Cricetulus griseus: one gene and its partners. Each later gene encodes a partner of the first gene's protein in a complex. Links are inferred from orthologs where the notes say so. Each region holds a gene or a part of one and is shown in the gene's direction. Other genes may lie near its edges.

Evidence for each region. Proteins that work in one complex are often made in the same cells at the same time.
Region 2: the proteins of Skp1 (region 1) and Fbxw7 are in contact, whole or in part, in a crystal structure (PDB 2OVP), measured with the Homo sapiens proteins. The link is inferred for Cricetulus griseus from reciprocal best matches to the Homo sapiens genes SKP1 and FBXW7. Residues at the interface, in NP_733779.1 of Homo sapiens: Gln97, Leu100, Phe101, Ile104, Leu105, Asn108, Leu116, Asp117, Cys120, Lys121, Val123, Ala124, Ile127, Lys128, Gly129, Lys130, Thr131, Pro132, Ile135, Arg136, Phe139, Asn140, Ile141, Lys142, Asn143, Asp144, Phe145, Thr146, Glu149, Gln152; in NP_001336727.1 of Homo sapiens: Pro274, Phe276, Gln277, Arg278, Asp279, Phe280, Ile281, Leu283, Leu284, Pro285, Leu288, Tyr291, Val292, Leu293, Phe295, Leu296, Pro298, Lys299, Asp300, Leu302, Gln303, Ala304, Ala305, Gln306, Thr307, Cys308, Arg309, Tyr310, Trp311, Arg312.
Region 3: Skp1 (region 1) and Fbxo10 share a complex: the UniProt entries of both Homo sapiens proteins name them as parts of the SCF(FBXO10) complex. The link is inferred for Cricetulus griseus from reciprocal best matches to the Homo sapiens genes SKP1 and FBXO10.

The regions. Positions count from the first base shown.
Region 1 is NC_048600.1:66,397,734-66,405,300, forward strand, and holds the start of Skp1 (S-phase kinase-associated protein 1), read left to right. Parts: upstream 1-2,999; 5' UTR 3,000-3,153; intron 3,154-4,255; exon of another isoform or gene 4,256-4,407; intron 4,408-7,520; coding exon 7,521-7,567. UniProt on the Homo sapiens protein: Essential component of the SCF (SKP1-CUL1-F-box protein) ubiquitin ligase complex, which mediates the ubiquitination of proteins involved in cell cycle progression, signal transduction and transcription.
Region 2 is NW_023276806.1:69,599,561-69,606,854, reverse strand, and holds the start of Fbxw7 (F-box/WD repeat-containing protein 7), read left to right. Parts: upstream 1-3,166; 5' UTR 3,167-4,304; intron 4,305-7,294. UniProt on the Homo sapiens protein: Substrate recognition component of a SCF (SKP1-CUL1-F-box protein) E3 ubiquitin-protein ligase complex which mediates the ubiquitination and subsequent proteasomal degradation of target proteins.
Region 3 is NC_048595.1:98,364,838-98,372,219, forward strand, and holds the start of Fbxo10 (F-box only protein 10), read left to right. Parts: upstream 1-3,254; 5' UTR 3,255-3,352; intron 3,353-7,382. UniProt on the Homo sapiens protein: Substrate-recognition component of the SCF (SKP1-CUL1-F-box protein)-type E3 ubiquitin ligase complex. Mediates the ubiquitination and degradation of BCL2, an antiapoptotic protein, thereby playing a role in apoptosis by controlling the stability of BCL2.

The DNA.
Region 1 (7,567 bases):
GGGAACACAGACACACAGACACACACACACAGACACACACACACAGACACACACACACACAGACACACACACACACACACACACACACACACACACACACACACACACAGTGGTGCCAGTTCTTTCTTATCTAGAATGACAATTAATAAACTGGGTGAAAATGCATCATTTGAGTCTACACCCTAAATCCTGCAGCCATCCTGGCTTTTGAGGGGAGGTTTTAAGGGAAGGCAAGGTTGATTCAAACAGTGTGGTACGGATCCAGTCTTTTTTGGTAAATGCTGCTGGCTTCTTACTGACAATGCATTCTCACCCATGCCCTATTAGAGAAGTTTATCTACTTACTCTAAGCTTATGAAGCACCTGAAATAGTTTAAAGTTAGTTTAAAATAGTTTAAAAATAGTTAAACCTGCTCCCAGGTTAGATTAATTACAATGAAAATGGACCCAGCTGCCTTTCCTTACAGTGGGCCAATTAATTATTTTCTTATTCACTTAAGAACATTTTTTAAACTCAGGTTCTTGCTATATAACCATGGCTGACCCAAAATTATGTAGGCCAGGCTACCCTTGAACTAAGTGCAGAGGGTGAACTTGAACTTATGGTTTTCCTGCCTCCACCTCCTGAGTGCTGGGATTACAGAAATGAGCCATCGTGCAGTTTATGGAGGTGTTGGTAATCAAACCCAGGGTTTTGTGCATGCCAGGCAAGCACATTACCCACTGAACCATGTCCCTAGACCCAGGGAATAGACTTTCAATAGACTATAGTGGAAGAGCTGTACTGCTGTGTCTAATTCATTGCAGGGGGAAAATATGTGATAATTCCTGTGAATCCATATCCAAACAGTAGAAAAAAAATATAAAAATCACCCAACTTTTGCCCCAGCTGCTTAGTTCCATTTCTTTTTTGTTTTGTTTTTTAAAGATTTATTTTTATTTACTATGTATAGTGTTCTGCCTGCATGTATCCCTGCAGCCCAGAAGAGAGCACCAGATCTCATTACAGATGGCTGTGAGCCACCCCTATGGTTGCTGGGAATTGAACTCAGGACCTCTGGAAGAACAGCCAGTGCTCTTAACCCCTGAGCCATCTCTCCAGCCCTGTTTTGTTTTTTTGAGACAGAGTTTCTCTGTGTAGCTTTGGAGCCTGTCCTGCAACTCACTTTGTAGACCAGGCTAGCCTCGAACTCACAGAGATCTGCCTGCCTCTGCCTGGGATTAAAGGCGTGTGCCACCACTGCCCAGCAAGTTCCATTTATTTTAGGCAAACAATTTCTTGTACATCTTTTGTTAAATAATTTGAATCTTAAATAGCCTAGTTGTGGCAAGGACTGAACCCAGGGGCCTGGGCATGGTAAGCTTTGCCCCAGCACCAAAATCTCCATTTTCTCCTCCAAGCATCTCTTGGTAATTCTAGTATCAGAGAAATTCTAGTATCCAGAAAAGACATATACCTATTTTGTGCCAAGCTCTGTGATGGGTTCTTAAGCTAGCTATATGACCCAGCACTGCCCAGTACTGCTTAAGATGCCCTCCATGTGGAAGAAAGGCTCTCCAGTGGCCCTTACCTAGGAGGCCCAAAGCAGGAGCTGTGAAGGGCAGGCAGTGCTGCAGAGAGAAAGCCTGAGAAATGTGGGCCTTTCATCTTCTGTCATCAGCAGTGGCACCTGGCAGACACTGGATACCATAGCCCGCAGACAAAGACCTGGTAACCCAAGCCATTGCTTGACCTCTCTGCCCAGTCTTGTCCTAGAGAAACTGTAGTCTCTGGTTTCTTTAGGAGGCCCTGTGTGGAAGTGCCTTTTGTCTTTGTGGTGTCTGGAATACTATCACGTGCTTGCTGGCTAGGTGAGCCAGGCGCCTTGGTGGGGACAGTGATGCTCCCTAGACACAGCAGGGCAGGGCAGAGCCACCAATTGCACAGTTCCTGACTTGGGTGAGGCCAGATGGGTGCTTTTAGGCCTCTCCCTCTTTACTGCAAAGCTGTTTCATCCTAGCGACCTTATCACAGCCTTCTGTGAGCTGCTCACACAGCACAGTCTGTTCAGGCTGGGCTTGACTGCCCTGGTTCACTACTAGATCCCAGCACTGGCCTCACCTACAGGGTTGAGTGCATGGTTACACAAAGAATGTATTCTCACATTATACATATTACGATGTTTTCATTTTCTAGGCTTGGAGCTTCGTTAACACAATGGCTATTTGGGGTCTGGAAGGCTCTTCAAAGGTCGAGGGTAGGAAATAAATGTTTAAAAATATCCAACAAGGTAGTGCATGACTGTAATCCCAGTGCTGTCACTCGGGGGTAGGCAGCCTGGTCTACATAGCAAGACCGGTCTCAAAACAAAACACTTCAGGCCTGCAATCCCAGAGCAGGGGGTTTTAGAGCAATTTGGTTTACATAGTAAATTTGTGGCCACCCTGTACTACACGAGACACTGTCTCATCAAGACAAGACAAAACAACAACAAAAAACTCTTACAATCAAACAGGCAGGGTGTGCTAAGTCAGGAGTATCCCAAGTTCTTAGGCCTGAAGTGACACCTGGTCTCAACATGCCGTGAGATTTTTTTTTTTTTTTTTTAAATTAGCATCAGTGGAGTAAGGTTCAAATCCCGAATTCCTGGTGGGCAAACACAACCTCACCTCTTTGGGTTATTAGGAGAGTAACGAGGTGAATCTGTTAAGTGAAACACACATAAGCCGCTTTTGCGGTTTGTTGTTTCCAGGCTTTTCAGGGCTGGCGTCTTTCATGCAGTTCAAGACAGCCCCTGCCTGAAAGACCCTTAGGGTCGCGTTGGTACCTCAGCCGCTGCCGGCGTCCGCACTGAAGGAGAGCATGGCGCTCTCGAGGGCAGAGGAGAAAGGCGGAAGCCCCTCCTCTGCCTAGCCGCCCATCCACCCGATGTCCCTCAGCATCTCTCCCGCAGGCCTCTGCAGCGCTCAGGGTCTGGCGCGCCGCCCTCCGCCTACCGTCAGGCGATCTCAACGGCCAGCCCGGCCGGCTGTGTGACGTCACGAGCTCGGGGGCCTCGGCGCCCGCTTCCCGCTCCTATAAAAGCCGGCCGCCGCGAGGCGTTGCTGTAGTGGCCTTGTCCTCGGTATTTCTCGTCGTGTCTGAGTGCTGCTCGTCAGCCTCGACCGAGCACCGTGAGTAGCCGCCCGCGAGCTGGGCCAGGACGTGGTCCCTGGAGGGCGGGCGGTGGTGGAGCCCCGGGGTGGCTATGGCCTGCACGAGGCGGCGGCGGCGGCGACTCGGCCTGGCGTAGCCTGAGGCACTGTGGGGCCCGTTGCCGACTCTGGACCGCGGAAGGCGCGAGGCGGCCGAGTCAGGCCTCCGCGGGCCGCGTGTCCTCACGGCGCTCGCCCGAGGAGTGTGAGCGGAGCCCTGTGACGAGCCTGCTCTGAGGGCGGCGTCAGTCAGGCTCGAACGCGGCTGCAAGGCCCAGGCTTCGGCCCGGGCCTGCCTGGGCGATAGGTTTGCTGCCCCGCGCTCCAGGACAGGTGGCGGCGGCGCTCTGCGTTTTGGGGGGAGGGGGGGTTGGCCGCCCAGGTGGTGGCGGTCGTTGTTAGTCTGCTCGATTTTTGGCTCCCTCGCCTGTATCTGGCGCCACTAGCTCCCTTTTGGTCTCGCTTCTTCTACCACCGAAACTGCAGGTACAGACTCGATATTTCTTTGCGTTGTTTTGTCGTGTCCTGCAGTCTCTGAACTTAGCTACTGTAATAGCAGACCCCGTCCTCTGAGGTGTGTCTTTTAGGAGCTTCCGACTCCTAAACTTGAGATGCCTGGGTTCTTTAAAGGGATAGTGTGACATCTGCCCTTTGGTTCACTTTTTTTTTAATGGAGTCCGCAGGTTTGGGGACTTGCAGTTTTTCTTCCGAATGTCACAGTAGAATGTGTCTGTGGCATAGAACAATGCAGCCCCTTCCATCCTGCAGTCTAATAGCAAGTGTCAGAATTTCGAGTCACTTAAAAACAGATTGTTTTTTAAGTCTGGTGTACTAGAATTCTTTAGGTTGTTTAATTTCCAAGTCCAGGAGTTAGAAAACTGAAGGTTTTTTTTATTATTATTATTTTTTTGAAAGCATGTCAGGTCGAAATCTCATGCATTATTACTTGAAAATTTTGCACTTAATTCCAACACAACACCGAAAGTTAAGTCTAGGATTACAGAGTGCATTGAATTACAGATTAACCGATTGTCTCCCTGTCATTTAATAAGATCCTGGCTCCCGCACAAGCAACCTAATACCTGAATTCTACTATGACTAAGCACATCTTTACTTATTGTGGATTATTTCAAGGAAATATGGAATGATGTTGCTTTTAAAGTAATTCTATCAACTACGTAGTTAGACTTGTTCTGGAGTGTTCGTTACAGTACTGGGGACTATAGAAAGAAGGTAATGTTTTGCTATGAAAAACTAGCCTCCCTTCACTGTTAACTGTGTTGTTGCCTTATTATAGGGAGGGTCTGCTGCTCTGGGCTTCTCTGTTCTGCATTATTGGCAAGCACTGAGAAACATGGAGAAGCAGACATGTTTGTGAGTGGAAAAGTGAAATCTGATTCTCTCAAACCATGGGTGAGGGAGAGCTGGGTATTTTAGTGGATGATTGTAAAATGATTTAGCTCACCCCTGCCCCAGCTTGTTTGCTTGAGGCATGGGGACAAGTGTCGGAGGAAAGCTGAATTTAAGAGAATTTTAAGAGATGTCGAGTCTTAAGTGTGTGAGGGTAAAATGGGCGAAGTAATTATTTTAAATGCCAAACACCAGGCTTTTGTGAAAATTCACATTGTCGCCCCCCTCCCCCCAGGGTTTCTCTGTGTAGCTTTGGAGCCTATCCTGGCACTCGCTCTGGAGACCAGGCTGGCCTTGAACTCACAGAGATCCGCCTGCCTCTGCCTCCCGAGTGCTGGCTTCACATTGTTTCTTAATACAACCTAGATCAGAAAGCTTCAGAGGTACCTTAAGTTAGTAGATAGTAACATTGGAGGATTGTCTACCTCAAAATCACAGACTTTAACAGTTGCTTGTGAGTCAAGCTTGGTACACACCTTTAGTCTCTGCACTGGAGGCAGAGGCAGGTAGATCTCTGAGTTTAAGACTAGCTCTGTCTACAGAGCAAGTTCCAGGACTGCCAGGGCTACACAGAAGAACCCCTTCTCAAAAAACAAACAACCCCTAAAAAAAAGTTGCATATGAATTTTAAAGAGGTCTTGAATTAATCCTCTTTGGAGCAATGTGGGAGAAATCTGAAGGTGATAAGAAATTTCAGGCTTGCTTTGAGCTTTTAGTTTTAGATTTTTTTTTTTACTTTCCCTCAAATTCAAGTCATGTTAGGAGTTTTCGGTTTCCTACCTTTTTTATATATGAATTATATTTTTCCTAATGGCTCATATTTTATCTGAGTCCATGAGATTTTTGGAGATTTGGGCTGTTGAGTTCCGTTTTTGAGACAGGGTCTCATGAAACCCAGGCTAGCCTCATACTTCCTTCCTATGTGTCAAGATGGCTTTGGACTCCTGATCCTTCTGGTTGCCTAAATGCTGGGATTATGGCATGTACTTATTTACTGGCTCACCTTTTGGACAGGAGGAGAGGACAGTGTTAGGTAATTATACTACTGAGCTATATCCACAGCCTCTTTGGTATTTTGTTTTGAAGCAGGCCCTTACTGAGTTCTCCCAGGCTGGCTTGAACTCATTATATAACCTGGGCAGTCCTTGAATTTATTATCCTCCTGGCCTTAGTCTTCCAAATATTGGGCATTACAGGACTGGTTTCTCTGTGTAGTGCTGGAACTCATTCTGTAGGCCAGGCTGGCCTCAAACTCACAGAGATCTATGCCTGTCTCTGCCTCCCCAGTGCTGGTTTAAAGGCAAGCACTGCTGCTGCCCAGCCATTTATTTTTAATAAATTTAAATACATATGTATATTTTGTTTTTTGAGACAGGTTCACAGGTAGCTCAGGCTGGACTTGAACTTGGCTGTGTACCCTGGGTCTGAATTCCTGCCTCTCCAGTACTTTTATAGGCATGTGCCACCATGACTTAAATGCATTTTGTTCTTGTTTTGCTGTTTTTGAGACAAGGTCTTTCTATGTAGCTCTGACTGACCTGGAACTCACTATTTAGACCAGGCTGGCTTCAGACCCAAAGATCTGCCTGCCTCTGCCTCCTGAGTTAGGAATTACAGGTGTGTGCCACCACACCTGGCTTAAAGTGAAATCATTTTATGTATTTATTTATTTATTTATTTATTTTCTTCAAGACAGGATTTCTCTGTGGCTTTGGAGGCTGTCCTGGAACTAGCTCTTGTAGACCAGGCTGCTCTCGAACTCACAGAGATCCACCTGCCTCTACCTCCCGAGTGCTGGGACTAAAGGCATGTGCCAAGCTTCAAAATGAATTTGGTTTTTGAGACAGGGTTTTTCTGTGTAGCTTTGGAGCCCATCTTGGCACTCGCTTTGTAGACCAGGCTGACCTCGAACTCCCAGAGGTCTGCCTGCCTCTGCCTCACAAGTGCTGGGATTAAAGGCCTATGCCACCAACACCCAGCCAAAATGAATTTTTGAAGCAGATTTTTTTACTGTAGGGACTTAGCCAGAGGATCTCAAACTTGGACACCTGAACAGTGGGTATTGAAAAATTAAAATGGTCTCTTCTAAGTTTAAGCTCCTTGTGGGATTTAGGGATCACATTGACACTTGCTTATAATGTCTTTTATTTTCTTGTGTGTAGGCTTGCATTTGTTTATAAGTGTGTGTATCCTAGTCTACTCTTTGGAGTCATTTGTTTTTCACTGGTAGATTTCACTGTAAGAAATTTACTTTCATTTGATAGCTTTGTTTACTTTGGACTGACTTCACTCAGCTTTGTAGGTAGTTAATTGTGGCAGTTAATTTTTCATATTGTGTAATTTCTCAGTGGGAGCATAGAAAGCATGTATCTTAAAATTTTTGAGAAGTTAACAAATGGCTGCCAGGCCTGATAACTAAGCTTAATCCCTGGAACCCACATAGTGGAAAGAGAGAACTGCCTCCTGCAATTTGTTCTCTGACCTCTGCATGTTGCTGAGCTATATGCACACCCACACTTTATATTCTAAAGTAAATGTCACATACAGATAACTCTTAATACCAGTTGTAAATTCAGCACTGCCTTTAAGTGGACCTTTAAAGCCAATGTTTAAAGGAGCTGTACTTGGGAATTTCTCTCTCTCTCTCTCTCTCTCTCTCTCTCGACAGGGTTTCTCTGTGTAGCTTTGGAGCCTATCCTGGCACTCGATCTGGAGACCAGGCTGGGCATGAACTCACAGAGATCCGCCTGCCTCTGCCTCCCGAGTGCTGGGATTAAAGTTGTGGAATTTTTTTAAAATAAAAACAATTATAGGCTGATTTGTGAAGAACTTGGAACTGTACAGAAGCTCTAGTTACAGCTTCCTGACAGACTAGTTGATGAAATATCTTGTGGAATTAACAGCTTACATTTCTTAATTCACTGCATCTTTTTTAGATGCCTTCGATAAAGTTGCAGAGTTCTGATGGAGAGATATTTGAAGT
Region 2 (7,294 bases), on another chromosome or scaffold:
CTGAACAACATATGGATTACAGACAGCAGTTGAGCAAATATGGTAAGCATAACAGGTTACATATTATCTCATTTATATACCATTCACAAGAAAGGGAAAAACTAAACAATGTAATGCTTAGGGATGAACACCTGTGATAAAACAATAAAGAAAAGCAAGGAAATGATTACCATAAAGGTCAGAATAACAGTAACTTCCAGGAGGGAGAGTTGTGTTTAGGAAGGTCATTAGGGCTTTTGGAGGATTAGCAAAACTCCACTGATTGGCTTGGTTGACTGCTTACAGGGTAGTTTCTTTGATAATTACTCATAGCATACAACTGCCTTATATGTTTAAAGTCTATTTCACAAAAATGCTTAAAATGAACTGATATATAGTGGCATTTTAGAGATTTTGCCAGATAAGCTAGGTTAGGTAATCTTTGACAGTAGAAACTACTGGTGTGGGATAATAAAACATTGATTAGTTTCTCATATAAGCTCACTTTCAAGGGAAGTTATGAAACACAGATATCCATTTGTCACACTTTAACACAGCAGGCAGATCTTTGATAAACTGATGAGCCAGGGAAAGAACCGTTAGCCAAAATAAGTGTTTGGTTCTAATTTACTGTTTTTGAAATCTGATTTAACTGATGTATTTCTCCTATTGATTATCAGGCAATAAATTTATGGAACTGGCTGGGCCTTGGTGGCGCACGCCTTTAATCCCAGCACTTGAGGCAGAGGCAGGCGGATCTCTGTGAGTTCGAGGCCAGTCTGGTCTCCAGAGCGAGTGCCAGGACAGGCTACAAAGCTACACAGAGAAACCCTGTCTCGAAAAACCAAAAAAAAAAAAAAAAAAAAAAAAAAAATTATGGAACTGAAAGGATATAGAACAAGTTGGAGATGTATGAATTCCCTCCTTTCCAGCGGCCAGGGTCTAACAGCTGTTTTCTCCTGTTACCAGTCTGGGAGGGGAGGTGAATGGATCTTATTCAGTAAGCTTAGTGGAGCTACTATCCTCAGTAGGTGGCTTGGGGCTCTTCTGAGTGCCATTCTGTCCCTCAGTGATGAGGTTATAGAGTGGAACCATTGGCAATGAAACAGATCAGGCCTTTGAACACGGCATGACACACAGGTTTCTGGAAGCATTTTCAGTTGCAGAGCTCTGCAATTTGTACTCTTCCCATTCAAAGTTCACGAAATTAAACTCTGAGGTGCTCGGCTTCACAAACTTCTCTAACCCTACATTGCATTTCTTTAATTTCTGCTGTACGGAAGAGAGTTCAACAAAATAATTATGTTGTAGCCATGTCTGGCTATTGCTTATTGATCTGATTCCCTGTGAGTATAAGTTGAACTTGGCAGGTTTAATGGATCATGTTTGCAGACCATCAAACCCAGCATTAACTAGGGTGAGAGATATTTGACTCCTGGGATTTCAGGTGAAGTACAACAGGGCCCGGTGCAACTTGTGAGTCCGTTCTTACTTTTGTGGCATCCTCCTCCCCCCTTTATTCACATTTATTTTTTTTTGCACAAAAATGAAACCTTGATTTATCAATGTAGACACTTCATTTCACTGTTCGAAGTGGTGGAAGAAGTGGCAAAACCCTGGGCTCCCCAAATACGTGGATAGTGTATTTAGTCCCATCTCCCCAAGCAAGGTTGAAGACCTAAATCGCCTTTGATATCCATCATTGCTGCTTACAGAGCAGGGGTCGGGTGCAGGGGTCCAGCCACACAACTGTGGAATTTGTTTCCCTTTATCTTTGCTGCTGCTTTAATCTCATTCTCCCACCATTAAGAAGGGCAGGCTCAAGACAGATTTCTGAGGATTGTGGTCCTTTTTATCTTGAAAATTCTTTTACTTCGGCACCACAGTTTAAATTTCTGTAGTTTTCCCCAAAACTTAAACAGAATCTGTAGGACAAACAGCCCAATATGTTAATAACAGAGGAGGGGGATAGAGAGGGAAGAAAGGAGTGAAGAAGGGAGGGAGAGGGAGGGAAGAGTAAGATAAGGGTGGGGGGAGGGTGAGAGAGAGAAAGAGAGAGAAGAGAGAGGCAGGAGAGAGAAAGAGGAGCGCGCGGACGCGCGACCGCTTTTGAGTAAGTCCTAAGACGTCGGCCAAAATTTTTTGAAGATATTAAAGGAGCGCTGTAATGAACAAGATCAGTTCTTCAAAAAAGTCAAGAGACAAGCAAGAATGACTCTTAAAAGACAGGCTCGACTACATCCGCCCCTTGAAAACGTTTTTAAAAAACTCTATAATATCCCAGAGTTGGTTCTCTTTCAGCCCTCTGATCCCCAACCCCGGTAATTCACCTACTTTCCCACAAAAGCCTGAAGTTGCTGCTCCCAACGTCAAGCCTCATCCCTTTCCTTTCACAGCTCGAGGGTGGGGGTGGGGTGTATCACAACTCTCAGGTTTCTACGCCGCAAATTACAAAACGCTTGCACTTCCACCATCACTGCCGAGTTCTGGGACTGCGATGCGAGACGCATTCATTCATTCATTCATTGATTCATTGATCCACTCACTCACTCACTCACTCACTCACTCACTCAAGAAACCTTCGCACCGCACCACCACCACACATAATGCGGCTCAAGGTTTCACCCCCACGCCACGGGAAGGGTGGAGCGCTTGCTCCCTGGAGCAGGTGCAGCAACTGAGCTGTGGGTCAACTTCTCCACCCGTCTCGCTGTTCTAGAACCTGCTCCGGGCCAAATGCCTCACCTTCGGGTGGTGCGCGCCCTAGCCCGGCCCCGGGGCCTGGGCCGCCTCCTCGTTCCCAGAGGAGCAGTTCGCACCTGCCCCGGAGGGAACGGCCACGGAGCTCTCTCTCCGCGCCGCCCTCGGGTCAGGGGTAAGATCAGGCGGTAGCTTAGGCTCGCCTGGGCTCCTCCCCTTCCTCTCCAGTTCTGACGCGGCCGTAGAGGCGGTGGCGGCGGCGGTGGCGGCGGCGGTAGCAGCAGCAGTCCCGCGGCCCGAGGCGCACCCACCCGCTCGCAGATCTCGACTTCCTCTTCCCTTGATGCGTCATCAGAGCGCGCGGCAGTCTCCCAGGGCGGGGTGGCCGGAGAGGGGGAGTAAAGGCCCGCAAAGGAAGGCGCTGAGAGGGAAGAGAAGGGAGGGGGAGGAGAGCGGTTGCTAGGCGACTTGCGTCATCGCCGGGCGCCGCTCTCCTCCCGCCCCTCTCAGGAGTGAGGCGAGAGCCCCGCACAGAGCGAGGGAGACAGGGAGCTGAGCTCCGGGCGCTGCCGACGCCGCCGGTGAGAGCGTGAGAGCGAGTGAGTGAGCGAGCATCCGAGAGACCGGGCGCCCGTGCACTGACCGCCGCCGAGACCTTCGCCTCAGCCCGGGCCAGCGGGAGCCGCGGCCGCCGTCTGCTTCCCCCCCTTACCTTCCCGGCCGGCAGCGGCGGCTGCACACGCCGGAGCCGGAGCCCCAGCCGGAGCCGGAGCCCGCGGCCGGGGGGCAGGGAGGCGGCTGCTGCGGGTCGGGACTGGTAGCTGCTCAGCCGGGAGAGGACGCCCGCGAGGGGCTGGGCTTTCTGCCTCGCCCCGGGGCGTGGGGCGAAGGACCCCCCGAGGTGTAGGGAGGGGGTCCCGGCCGCCGCGACACATGCGGGAGCCGCGAGCGGGGGCGGCGCCGATCCGAGCCCGCCAGGCCACCAGCTTAGCCGCCGTCCGGTCCGGCCGCCCGGGGCCGTAGCATCCCTTCGCGGAGTGTATGAGCCGGGGCCCCCAGCCCAGGAGCCACCCCCGGGCCGGGGGGGCGGGGACCCCGATGTGAAGCGGCTGCGGCGGCGTGGTGAGCGGCCCGGGCGCCGCCGTCCTCTCCTTCCCCTCCCCTCCCCTCCCCTTCACCCCCTCTGGGGGGCTTCTTCTTGGGCTCGCCGCCGCCCCCCTCGGCTCCTCGGCGGGACTCCGGGAGTTCTCGGCGCCCCTCCCCGCCCCAGCCCCCAAGGGCAGCGGGGCCGGGGGGGACCCGGGGGGCCGGCCACAGCCTCCGCCCAGAGGAAACTTTACCCAAACAAAATCATCGAGCTTTACGATCGTGTCTGTCCCGGGACAAGTGGCCCAGGACGGGCAGAAGCCACAGTGTGCAGAGACCCAGGAAGAGGAAAAACGGTGAGCGGGTCGCCGCCGCCGCCTCTACCCCGGCAGCGCGGAAGAGACCCGGGTGGTTGCCTGGTGGAGCGACGCTAGCACCGCTTCTTCTGTTCCGCGCCGAGCCTTTCGCAGCTGCCGCCTCAGCCCGAAGGAGGAAGGGAGCCAGCCCATATTGTCAGCGCCACCGCTCGTCTCTGAAGCGTGAGTGGACTCGGGGGAGGGGGACGTTCTAGGGTAGCAATTGGGAGCCGGTGGGTGCTTGGTGCTGGAGTTTGGCTGTTGTTTCTCGGGAGGGTTGGGCATGGAGACCTTTCCTTCCTGCTGAGGGAAGAAGGCATCAGTTTGCAAGAGTAATGCAAGTAACAGGGGGCTTGACTTAGAGGAGCGGTGTCTCCAGAGTGGACGTTTGCACCTTTCTGCACACTGATCAGCAAAGGGAAATCGAGAAAGCCCAATGGACAGGTCTGTCCTGTACATTTTCCTGGCCACTGGTTGTGATCCAGCACAGAGTGGTTTTGTTTCAGGGAAACTCCCATGGATTCCCACGTGGGAATCACTTGAATCAACTCTTTAAAATTTTTTTCTCTTTCTTTCTTAGCTATTGTTTTTGAAGTTGTCCTTGAGAGAAGGACCAATTTTGGTTTAGTACACACAGGAGCTTGGTACCCCGGATACGGTATTTCCCAAGTCCAGAGATTCTGATGCATAAGGAGGATGTTTTTGTGTTTCAGTAGCTCAGGAGAGTTCAAGTTCCTAGGATGCACAACTCTTTGAGACTGAATTCAGGGAGAGCACTTAATGCATTACCGTTTCATAAACGTTGCAGCACTTTCTTTTTCCCTAATTCTCTTATCATTTTTGAGGGGAGAGTAATACATTTTATGTGATAGTATATTTTTCCTAGGATTGAAAGGGCATGCATGTGGCTTTTCTTACTTGACTTGTCAACTTAGAAACTTCTCACACTTTAAAGAAAGTATTTCAGGTATCTTAAGAGTGCTTTAAATTAGAGGTACAGGAAAGTAATGTTTCACATATATAAGGTTAAACATACTGTGGGATTTTATGTAACAAGGAACATAGGTAGTGTAAGACTGAGAATTCTGGTCCATTCAGACAATGGAAAGTGGGCAGAACAGAGATGCTCTGTAGAAATGAATGGAAACCTGGGCTTGTCTATCCATCTTAATTTCTCCATTTAGGATCATGATTAAATTTGTCTGATTGAAAGTTTCTCACATTTCACAATGTTTGGGCCCTGTTCTCCCCCTCTTTTTAAAGTAATTAGCCCAAAAGTTTATTAGTTTTTGCATTATGTAACAACTCTCTTATCTTCTAACTGCTTCCTCAAACTTCCAAGATACAGGTTGAGGAATGCTAAAGCAACCATGCGTTTATCTCCTCTTGCTTTTATAGATTTTGGTTATTCTCTTCTGTCATCTGTCCCAACTTTTTAATCTTGAGTACTTTTAGTTTTTTTCCATTTTGGATTTTCTAGCTCTTTTATTTTTCCTTAGATGCTTTGTTCTTTATATGTTTTCATAAAACACTGTAAGTTCTACTTAGTGTAAATGGGAATTAGCATGAAAATATTGGTGAATGAAACTTTAAGTTTAGAATAAAACATGTTTTTGGATCTGTTAACCTTATTTTGCAACCCTGAGTAAGTCATGTATTCCATTTTCCGAAAAAGGTGACTGAGAGACCTAGTTTTGCATAGTTTGCTTTTTGGGAAGAAGGGGGCTGTAAACCAAGAAATTATACCTTGAGTGTGTATTGCTTCGGTTCAAAGTTGCTTACAAACTTGAGGACCTGCTTTGCAAATTGGTTTTAAATCATGGAAGTACTTTATTGGCTGTAGAAATAACAACATTTAATACTTTCAGTCTTTGGGGTACCTTTTCTTATGAATGACAGAGGCAATTTCTTACTAATTCAGAGAACCAAAGGTGGAAGGAGAACACTGATTCCACAGAGTTGTCCTCTGACCTACATGCACATGAATGTAATAGTGGTAGTAGTAAAAATAAATAGGTTTTTTTAAAAAAAATGTAGGAAAGGAGGAAATGTATTATCTTTATTAGTCTAAGATCATGATATATACCAAGGACTGTCATTGCACCTTCCATTAGGGAAGTGTTGATTTTGGACTACCCAGGAATAATTGGAGTCTCTGAGCCAAATCTTGGAAGGGCTCCTTCAGGAAGAAAAGAGCATGTACAAACAAAATATTAAAGACTCAGAGTCAGAACATGTAAAGGAGAAGGAAGTTAGCTTGGTGGGAATACCTACCTACTGATGGAGGTTCTCGACTAGGGGTAAGATCAGTTTGCACTTGTGTATACACTCATGGTTACAGTTTATAAAAGAATTTGAAAACTGCTCCAGAGAGGGTAGTTTCAAGTGACTGGGAGAAATTATACTTTAGGACGAAGGCACTATTGCTGGCTTTAGGATTTTGTTTCTCTAGGAAACCAATCTTTTTACATTATGTGGGGGCTGCACAGAAGGAGGTGTGAAAAGGAAATGCTTTGAATGTTTTTTAGCTGGATGCTAGTAGTTTCTCATAATCAGGAATTCAGAAACAGTAGCAGACTTTGCTTTGGATGTTGATTTTTAGGTTAAGAGCTGGATGTCCATATATTTCATGTGTTGGCTCATTCTGTTTTTCTTTTCCTCCGCCTCTTAACTCTTTCTCTTTGATTTTTGAATCTGTCTCTTGTCCCAGGCTGACCTTGAACTTGCTGTGTAGCTGAGGATAACCTTTAACGTCCAATCATCCTGATCCTGCCTTGACTTCCTGAATGCTAAACTTACTGTTGTGTGTGCCACTATTTCTGGTTATGTAGGGCTGGGGATGAAACCTAGGGCTTTATGCATGCTATCAGGTGCTTTGTCAGCTGCGCTACTCCTTAGGGCCTGCCCCATATAGCTTTCAAGACTGCAAAGTAGTTTGGGTAATATGCTGACAGTGTGGGTAGTGATGGGAGTCATTCTTAAAGGCTTTAGGTTTCTGAGATTACTGATACTGAGTAAAGAGCTGAAAAAGGATTTTACAATTTTGGGAATGGACAGAGTTGTGTTAGCTTAAGCACAGGCATAATAAGAGAGACATTCCCCAAAGAGATACTTCATAAGTGAGTGAAAAGTGGCAGTTGAAACAAGGAACAGTCTTTAAACATAGCTGCCGA
Region 3 (7,382 bases), on another chromosome or scaffold:
TCAGGATCACCAGAATCAGGTTTCCTGGGAAACCGGGCAACTGGAACATCTCTGTTTGTCTGTTGACAATTAGGTGCCACCACTTACTCCGAGGGATGCTTTTGATGACACTCTTCTTCAAGTTGCTGACAACGTTCCAGAGATGTTGTTATATAGCATGTAGGTCTCAATTCTGTAAGGGGGATAATTATTTGTAAAATTAGGAACGCATGGAAAGACAGAGAAAGCATCTAGAGTCTTCACTTCCCTAACAAAACACATGGTTTGCTTTTCAACAAGCCCATCAATGATGATCCCCAAATGTAGGAAGAACATTGAGATCTGCAGGTGGCCAAAAAAGATGACAGCTGTTGTGTTTTTGGAAAAATGACTCTGTCTGAATCTAATCTTTCTGTAAAGAAAAGGTTCATATGGCTGAGATGACTGTATATTCGCTTATCCATTTGCCATAAATACAAATTATGTGCCAGGCTGCTAAGATGAACAAGCCCACTGTGGTCAAATGAAGGAGAGAAGTCAACTGACAGCAGGGAAAACCATTGCACACATGGTGGGATGGAAGCCTGTACCTGACAGAGCAGGGCAGGAAAACAGGAGCAACCAACTGCTGACAAATGCTGTTCTTGTACACCAACATACATGCAGCCAAAGCACGCATACCCACAGAATAAAAATAAATAAATCTTAAATAAACGCCACTGTTTTGACAAAAAAAATCCCTCTTGTGGCACGTGACACCTGTAGCATCGATGAAGAGGACAGACAGCATGCTGTGGTAGATAGTCACCACCATTCTTCTTTGGAAGTCCCAACTCTTTTACAGAAATGCCAAAACAAACAGTAATGTTTGATGTCACAAATCCAGGAACTCAGGATTTAATGGCTTATTGAAATTCATATCCAGCCTGCTGGTTTCATACAATGGGGTACTTTTCAAAGGATTAGACATGTGACTGGTTTACCAGTCATCAAAAGCAAGCAACATCACCAAGTTTATTGTAGTATGAGTTCATCCTGTTTTTCGCAGGGCTTGACCTAAGCGTGGCCTTTCCGCTATATCTGTGGGCCTGGTGTACCGCTCTCGGTCTTTAAATTGTTTTTAGGTCTAGGTGTTTGGTTTGGGTTTTAAACAAAGGAGTAGTTGAGGGCTGGGGTGTGGGTGAAGGGGAGAGCACTTACCCAGCATGTGCAAGATCCTGAATTTGCTCCAACCAATAAAACAAAAAACAAATAAAAACCCCTGACAGTTACGCTAATGTGGGCCTCACCCCATCATGCCAAATTCATCATACAGTAGTAATAGATGAAATTATTTTAACACTTTTTTTTTTTTTTTTTTTTTGTAGACCTAGGATTTGGCGGAAGTCAGTAGAACCACATGGGTCTGGTGTAGAAACTTCTCAACATTCTTGATGAGTTAGGTTTCTGCACTTAATGCAGAGGTCTGAGTCCAGATGCTTTTTGTTTTGTTTTCTTTTGTTTTGTTTTTCGAGACAGGGTTTCTCTGTGGCTTTGGGGGCTGTCCTGGAACTTGCTCTGGAGACCATGCTGGCCTCGAGCTCACAGAGATCTACCCGCCTCTGCCTCCTGAGTGCTGGGATTTAAGGTGTGTGTCACCAACGCCCGGCTAAAGATTTATTTTATTTTATGTACACTGGTGTTTTGTCTGCATGTATGTCTGTATGAAGGTGCCAAATTCCTTGGAACTGGAGTTACAGACAGTTGGGTGCTGGGAATTGAATCTAGGTCCTCTGGAAGAGCAGCCAGTACCATAACTGCTAAGCTATCTCTCCAGCCCAGATGCTTATTTTTCTTTATCTTAAAATTATTTTATGCGTATGTGTGCTTCTCTGTGTGTATGTTTGTGCATCAAGTGTGCCTGTTACCCCCAGGAGACCAGAAGAGGGTCGAGTTACAGAGGGTAGTAAGCTGTCATGAGTGCTGAGAATAAAACCTGGGTCTTCTCCAAGAGCAGCCAGTGCTCTCAACAGCTGGACCATCTCTCCTACCCCCCCTCCACACACACACACACAGCTGCTCTTGAAAATCAGTGACCGTGATGCTAATAGGCATCACAAACTTAAGAAGTTCACAACTGAGTTATTGATCCTCCACCTTTATGTTCCCCTTATGACAGTCCCGTTTTTGCAAATAGCACTTCCTGGATCTATGGTAAGCTAGAAGATTGAATTTTCCCTAGTTTTTCCACAACAGCCCAAATTAGACTCTACTGCAAAACCGTCTCAAATCTGTGAGTCCCCATATCCACACCAGTACTTCAGCCCAATCTCTTGGCTTTCCACTAGAGTAGCAGGGTCCAAACACCCACATTCTCCACCCCTTCAATGGCCTCCACTCTAATACCCTTTGATCTCAGACAGAGCTGGGGGTGGGTGCCTGCACATGGCTGGAGAGGCAGCTTAGTGGTTAGGAGGTAGGTGTATTGCTCTTGCCCAGGATTCCCTTGGCGGCTCACAACTGTCTATATTCCCAGTTCCAGGGGATCCAGCTCCTTCTTCTGGCTTCCAATAGCCCCTGTAAGCACAGAGTGCACACCCATACACAGATTTTTTTAAAAAATATTTTTTTGTTGTTAAAAAAACCGCAACTCTTTGTGTTTCTCTAAGGAGCAATCTTGCCTCCCTTGGCTCACGAGCTTTCTCACACAGACTTTTCCTGCCCCTTTTCCATATGACTACTCTCATCAAGTCCCTCAACCCCTGGTTTTAAACCAAGGCCCCTTCCACGTAGTTCACATAACTTTAAATTCATATGAACTTAAATAGCAGCTTGTGTTTACCATCTCCACCATAGAATGGATTTCAGAGCAGGCGCCATCACAGTTTTGTTCTCTTGGGCCCATAACTAGTAGTGACACCAACAACTACTACACATCATTTACATGCGTCATGCATTGTTATACCAAGAGCTTTCCACACAACCAACCCATGGCCCCAGTGTCCTTCCTGACTTCTAGCCAGGGTCAGTCTGCTCGGCCGCTTAACCCAGCTCCTATGTGCTCATCCGCACCGAGCCCCATGGGCTGTTAGGCTAATCGTGCAGGAAAGGATCCGCGTTGACCGCTTGGAATCCTCCTGCAGTTCTCGCCCACGGATGCTATTCCTGCCCCTTCAGAGGCCACGCTCGCCCTTCTCAGAGCCCCGCTAGCTCCGCCTTGCCTCCAGGCTCGGGTCGCGCGCTCGCAGCGGAGCTCCACCCACGCATCACGTGACAGCTGTCGGGGGCGGGGCTCGCGGCGAAGTCGGTCCTCCTGGCGGCGCGCCGCAGTCCTTGGGCAGCCCTGCGGCTTCCAGGGCGTCGCGGCCGCGGCCCCGCAGCGCCGCTCCCTGAGGTAAGAGCGCGGGTTCCTCGACGCGCCCCGGAGGCCTCCCGGGAGCCCGCTGATGCTCCAGGCCACCGGCCTCTCCGTCCTGCCGTGGGCCAAGCCTGTGGCTGGGGTGCGGGGACCCGGCCTGAGGCAGTGCGGGGGGGAGAGGGGGGGCTTGGCCGCCGGAGCTCCAGGAGAGCCGTGCCTTGGTCCCCCCTCCTTCCCCGGGACCACCCGCGGTCGCCTTCAGCCCCAGGGTTTTGCTGGTGTGCGACAGAATTCATTCTCCTTTGCGGTTTGCAGCCTTCACCTGGGATGCCAGAGCCAGTGTGCAGTCGGACACCCAGTGGGTTTGGTTTTAGCAAATCGCGGAGACTTGGTTTCTAAAATCTTTGAAAGAGGGATAACCGCTGCCCGGCCTCCCTCCTGCATCGAAGAACTGATGGCAAAGCCATTTGATGAGCCAGAACTCTGGAGTTGGTTTTAGTTCCACCACCCACTAGCCAGGCAACCTTGAGCCACGTCGATGGTGCTTCGTTAAAAGTAGAGACAGTACGTCAGCCAGAGGTTGCTATGAGGATTAAGCTGAAGAGATGAGCACGGTGCGGGCACAGAGGGCTCTTTAGTTCTCTCGGCATGAGCATTATTAAAATAGCAAGCTAGAGAGGACTCTCCAAGAGAGACGTCTTTCTTGCAGTAAGCACACCATCCACTGTGTTTGTGATCCTGAAAACAGTACGGGTTTTGGCTGTAGAACCCTCTCCCCTTTCCCAGGCCCCCTTTGCCTTCTGTTTCACATTGGCATGTGAACCTGTTGTTCCTACCGAATGAGTCAGGCAGGATGGGAACGCTAATTTACTTGAGCAGATGGGTATCAGATTCCCTCTGAGGGGAAAGAAAACTGCCAGGCATGTGCTCCCATCAAAAAAAGCACAGTAGAGTGATTGACAGTCTACTGGAAGATGCCTAGGAACCCATGTAATCCAGCTGTTTCCTGCACATAAAGAAACGAGCCAGAAGGAGGCCAGGACTTTGGTTTTGCTCACACTTCAACACTGTTGGCTCTGGGTAGTAGAAAGAATGCTTGTGCTTTCCCATGCTCGTTTATTCCTGCTGCGTATTTGTACGTCGACAAGGAGCTGGATGAGATAAAGCTATGAACCAGACAATGGTGTCTGACCCCATGAAGCTGTCTCCATAGCTGACTATGTTAGTTTGAGATTATATAAAAGTCTGTTTTGTGTGTGTGTGTGTGTGTGTGTGTCTGCTGGGTCTCAGTATGCTTTATGATAACAATAAGTTCCAGCTCCCAGGGAGCTTGCCTCACAGCAGCTGGCCCCAGGGTACCCACATGCAAGAGAGGCTTGAATTGTTTCATGAACCTTGTCACGTCTCCAGGCCTGGTGGAAGCTTGATGAGATTTAGAAACTGGAGAAAATGGTACGTTGTTGAAGCTTTTAGGGAAGGATTTCCACAGGCCTAGAATGCCTGCATTTCTTTGTTCCTCTGGTTTCTGGCCTCTTATTGTTTTTAGCTATCTAAAGAGAGCAGCCTTCAGCATAGTTCCTTCATTTGGTTTCCATGGTTATCAGGGGAATTACATTTTCATGATAGCACCAGTAGCTATTGAGCTGTGTGGCCAACCACCAGTCGCTCACCACCAAGTCCTGCTTTCTGGTTTTGTTTTTCAGTTGTAGTGCAGACATCATCTCCGTTTTCTTTTTTTCCTTCCTTTCATCCTTCCCTTCAATGGTGACAGTGTGAAGAGGGATGGCAATAAGAATAGATAAAATAGAGACAGACCTTGGCCTGGGAGATGGTAGAATCCCTTTTTGGCCCAACCCATTGATGATGATGATGCAATGCTGTGTGTGGCACAGAACTGAGGGCATTGGCAGGAGTCAGGGGCAGGGCAGTGGCCCTCTGGAAAGGTGTAAATGGTGAACCAACTTGAGCTGTCATAGGCAGAGTAACAGTGCCCTGAGCAACAAAGAACACCTCACCCGCTTTTCAAAGGAGATAAGAAAGAAACATGTTCCTTTAATGGGCCCCAGTCACAGAGGAACACTAGATAGCATTTTGTTGCTTGAGTTTGCCTTCATGGATGAGCCTTTTCCTCTTGAGTCACTTACCATGTGCTTTGTGTGAACAAGCTGCTGCTTTCCCTGTTAGCGGGATTTGTTTCCCTACTCACCTGACAATGGGATTGTCAACATAAAGGGGCTAGAGAAACACTTGTTTGGGATCCATCTATTTCAGTTTAGATGTTTAACCTGTTTGTCTTATTTCTCAAGTTGGACACTAATGCAGTCACACATTATTTTTCCAAGTACCCTCCCAAGTCTTCCAAAACCCTCATTAGTAAGGATTCTAACCTCTAGAGAGGCTTCTGTAGCCCAAAGAGGACCTCTCAGAGGAGTGAGAGTGGTAAGTGGTATACCCAGATTGTTATCTGACAGCTATGAGTTGTCACTATGGAGGAGTTGCCCTGCACAGTTCAAGGATGTGTGGTAACTGCTGCTCAGTGCCCTTTAGGGCACTATCTATGTCAGTAAGATCCCCTGTTTGGATCTGAGTTTGCAGCTTTTTTTAGTTCATGCTCACGTGCTTAGCTTTGTGTTCCCCAAAGCTCCACTTGTTGGCCTTTGCCTTGAGTCTGCTGCTTGGCTGGCTTCTTCTAGCTTTCGGGGTCACCACAGATCACTGAGATTCTCCTCTTTTCAAGCCTTTTATCTGAATGAAAGGGCTGTATCTTCCTTCCTTCCTTCCTTCCTTCCTTCCTTCCTTCCTTCCTTCCTTCCTTCCTTCCTTCCTTTCTTCCTTTCTCTGAGCTTAACCCAAGTCCTTTTGGTAAACCGGTTCCATCTTGTCACCAGGGTCTTACCTAAGCAAGTTCTTACCTAAGATTCTCAGGGATGGTACATTTCAAGAAGATGCCTCCCTAGGACTTTGGGTACCTCTTCAGCCTTGTTTCTCCAAGTATAAGAGGGATGGGTCCTTGGTGATTCTTGACTGCTTCCACCTGCAGTCCTAAGAGGTTAGGCAACTACAAACATCCCCTATTAAGCTGGGGGTGGTGCATGCTTGCAGTCCCAACACTCTGTAGGTGTAGGCAGGAGGATCAAGAGTTTAGGTCCACCTAGGCTATATGAGACCTTATTTAAAGAAAAAGGAAAGGAAAATAGGGTTTACTGAAAGTAGAAATGTATTTGGCATATATACTCTGTTAGGGATTTGGGAAGCAAGGTTTCAAATTAAAAACAGGAATGTGGTTGGTAGGGTGACACTGTAGCTTTTGAATGGCGGAGGCAGGAGGATTGCTTGGACCTAGAAGTTAGAGTCAGTGGCAAGATCTCAACTTAAAAACAAACAAAAGGCTGGTTACAGTTGTTTGGTTTTTTTATGACAGTTTTTGTGTTCTTTCGGTTTTTCTAAGAATTGGTATATTTATTTTGTTATCTTTGTTTTGAATGTTTTTTACTCTGAAAGATAAAATATACAGATGGGGTGCAAATGTACAGTTTAGCAAATAATTAGGAGGGAAATAACAGTGTAAACACTGCAACCTCAAGAAATAGAACATGGTGAGTGCCTTTTTCAGAATTTAACCTCCTCCCTGAGAAGCTGTCATCTTGACCTGTAAATGACCATCATCTCTTTGTTTCATCAATTGTGTGCACGTCCCTACACAGTACCATTGAGTTTAGCTGCTTTAACTTCATACGTGTGAGATCACCCTGTCTGCATCTTTTGTTTTGCTTCTTTTGCTCTGTGTATCACTTGGCATGCATCCAGGTGGTAGCCTCATGTCTGTCAGTAACAGTAATGTGCTGGTGTGAATAGGTCACAGTAAGTTCAATTAGCATTGGATGGACAGTGGGTTGCCAAGAACATTCTCAGACATATTCTCTCTCTTTTAAATTGCATTTACTCATTTGTTTGTTTAGTGGCAGGAGGCATACACAAGTTGGTTCTCCTTTCATTGTGTGGGTTCCCAGGATAGAACTCAGATCATTCGTCTTGCTTCCTGAGCCATCTCTCTGGCCTTCCTCAG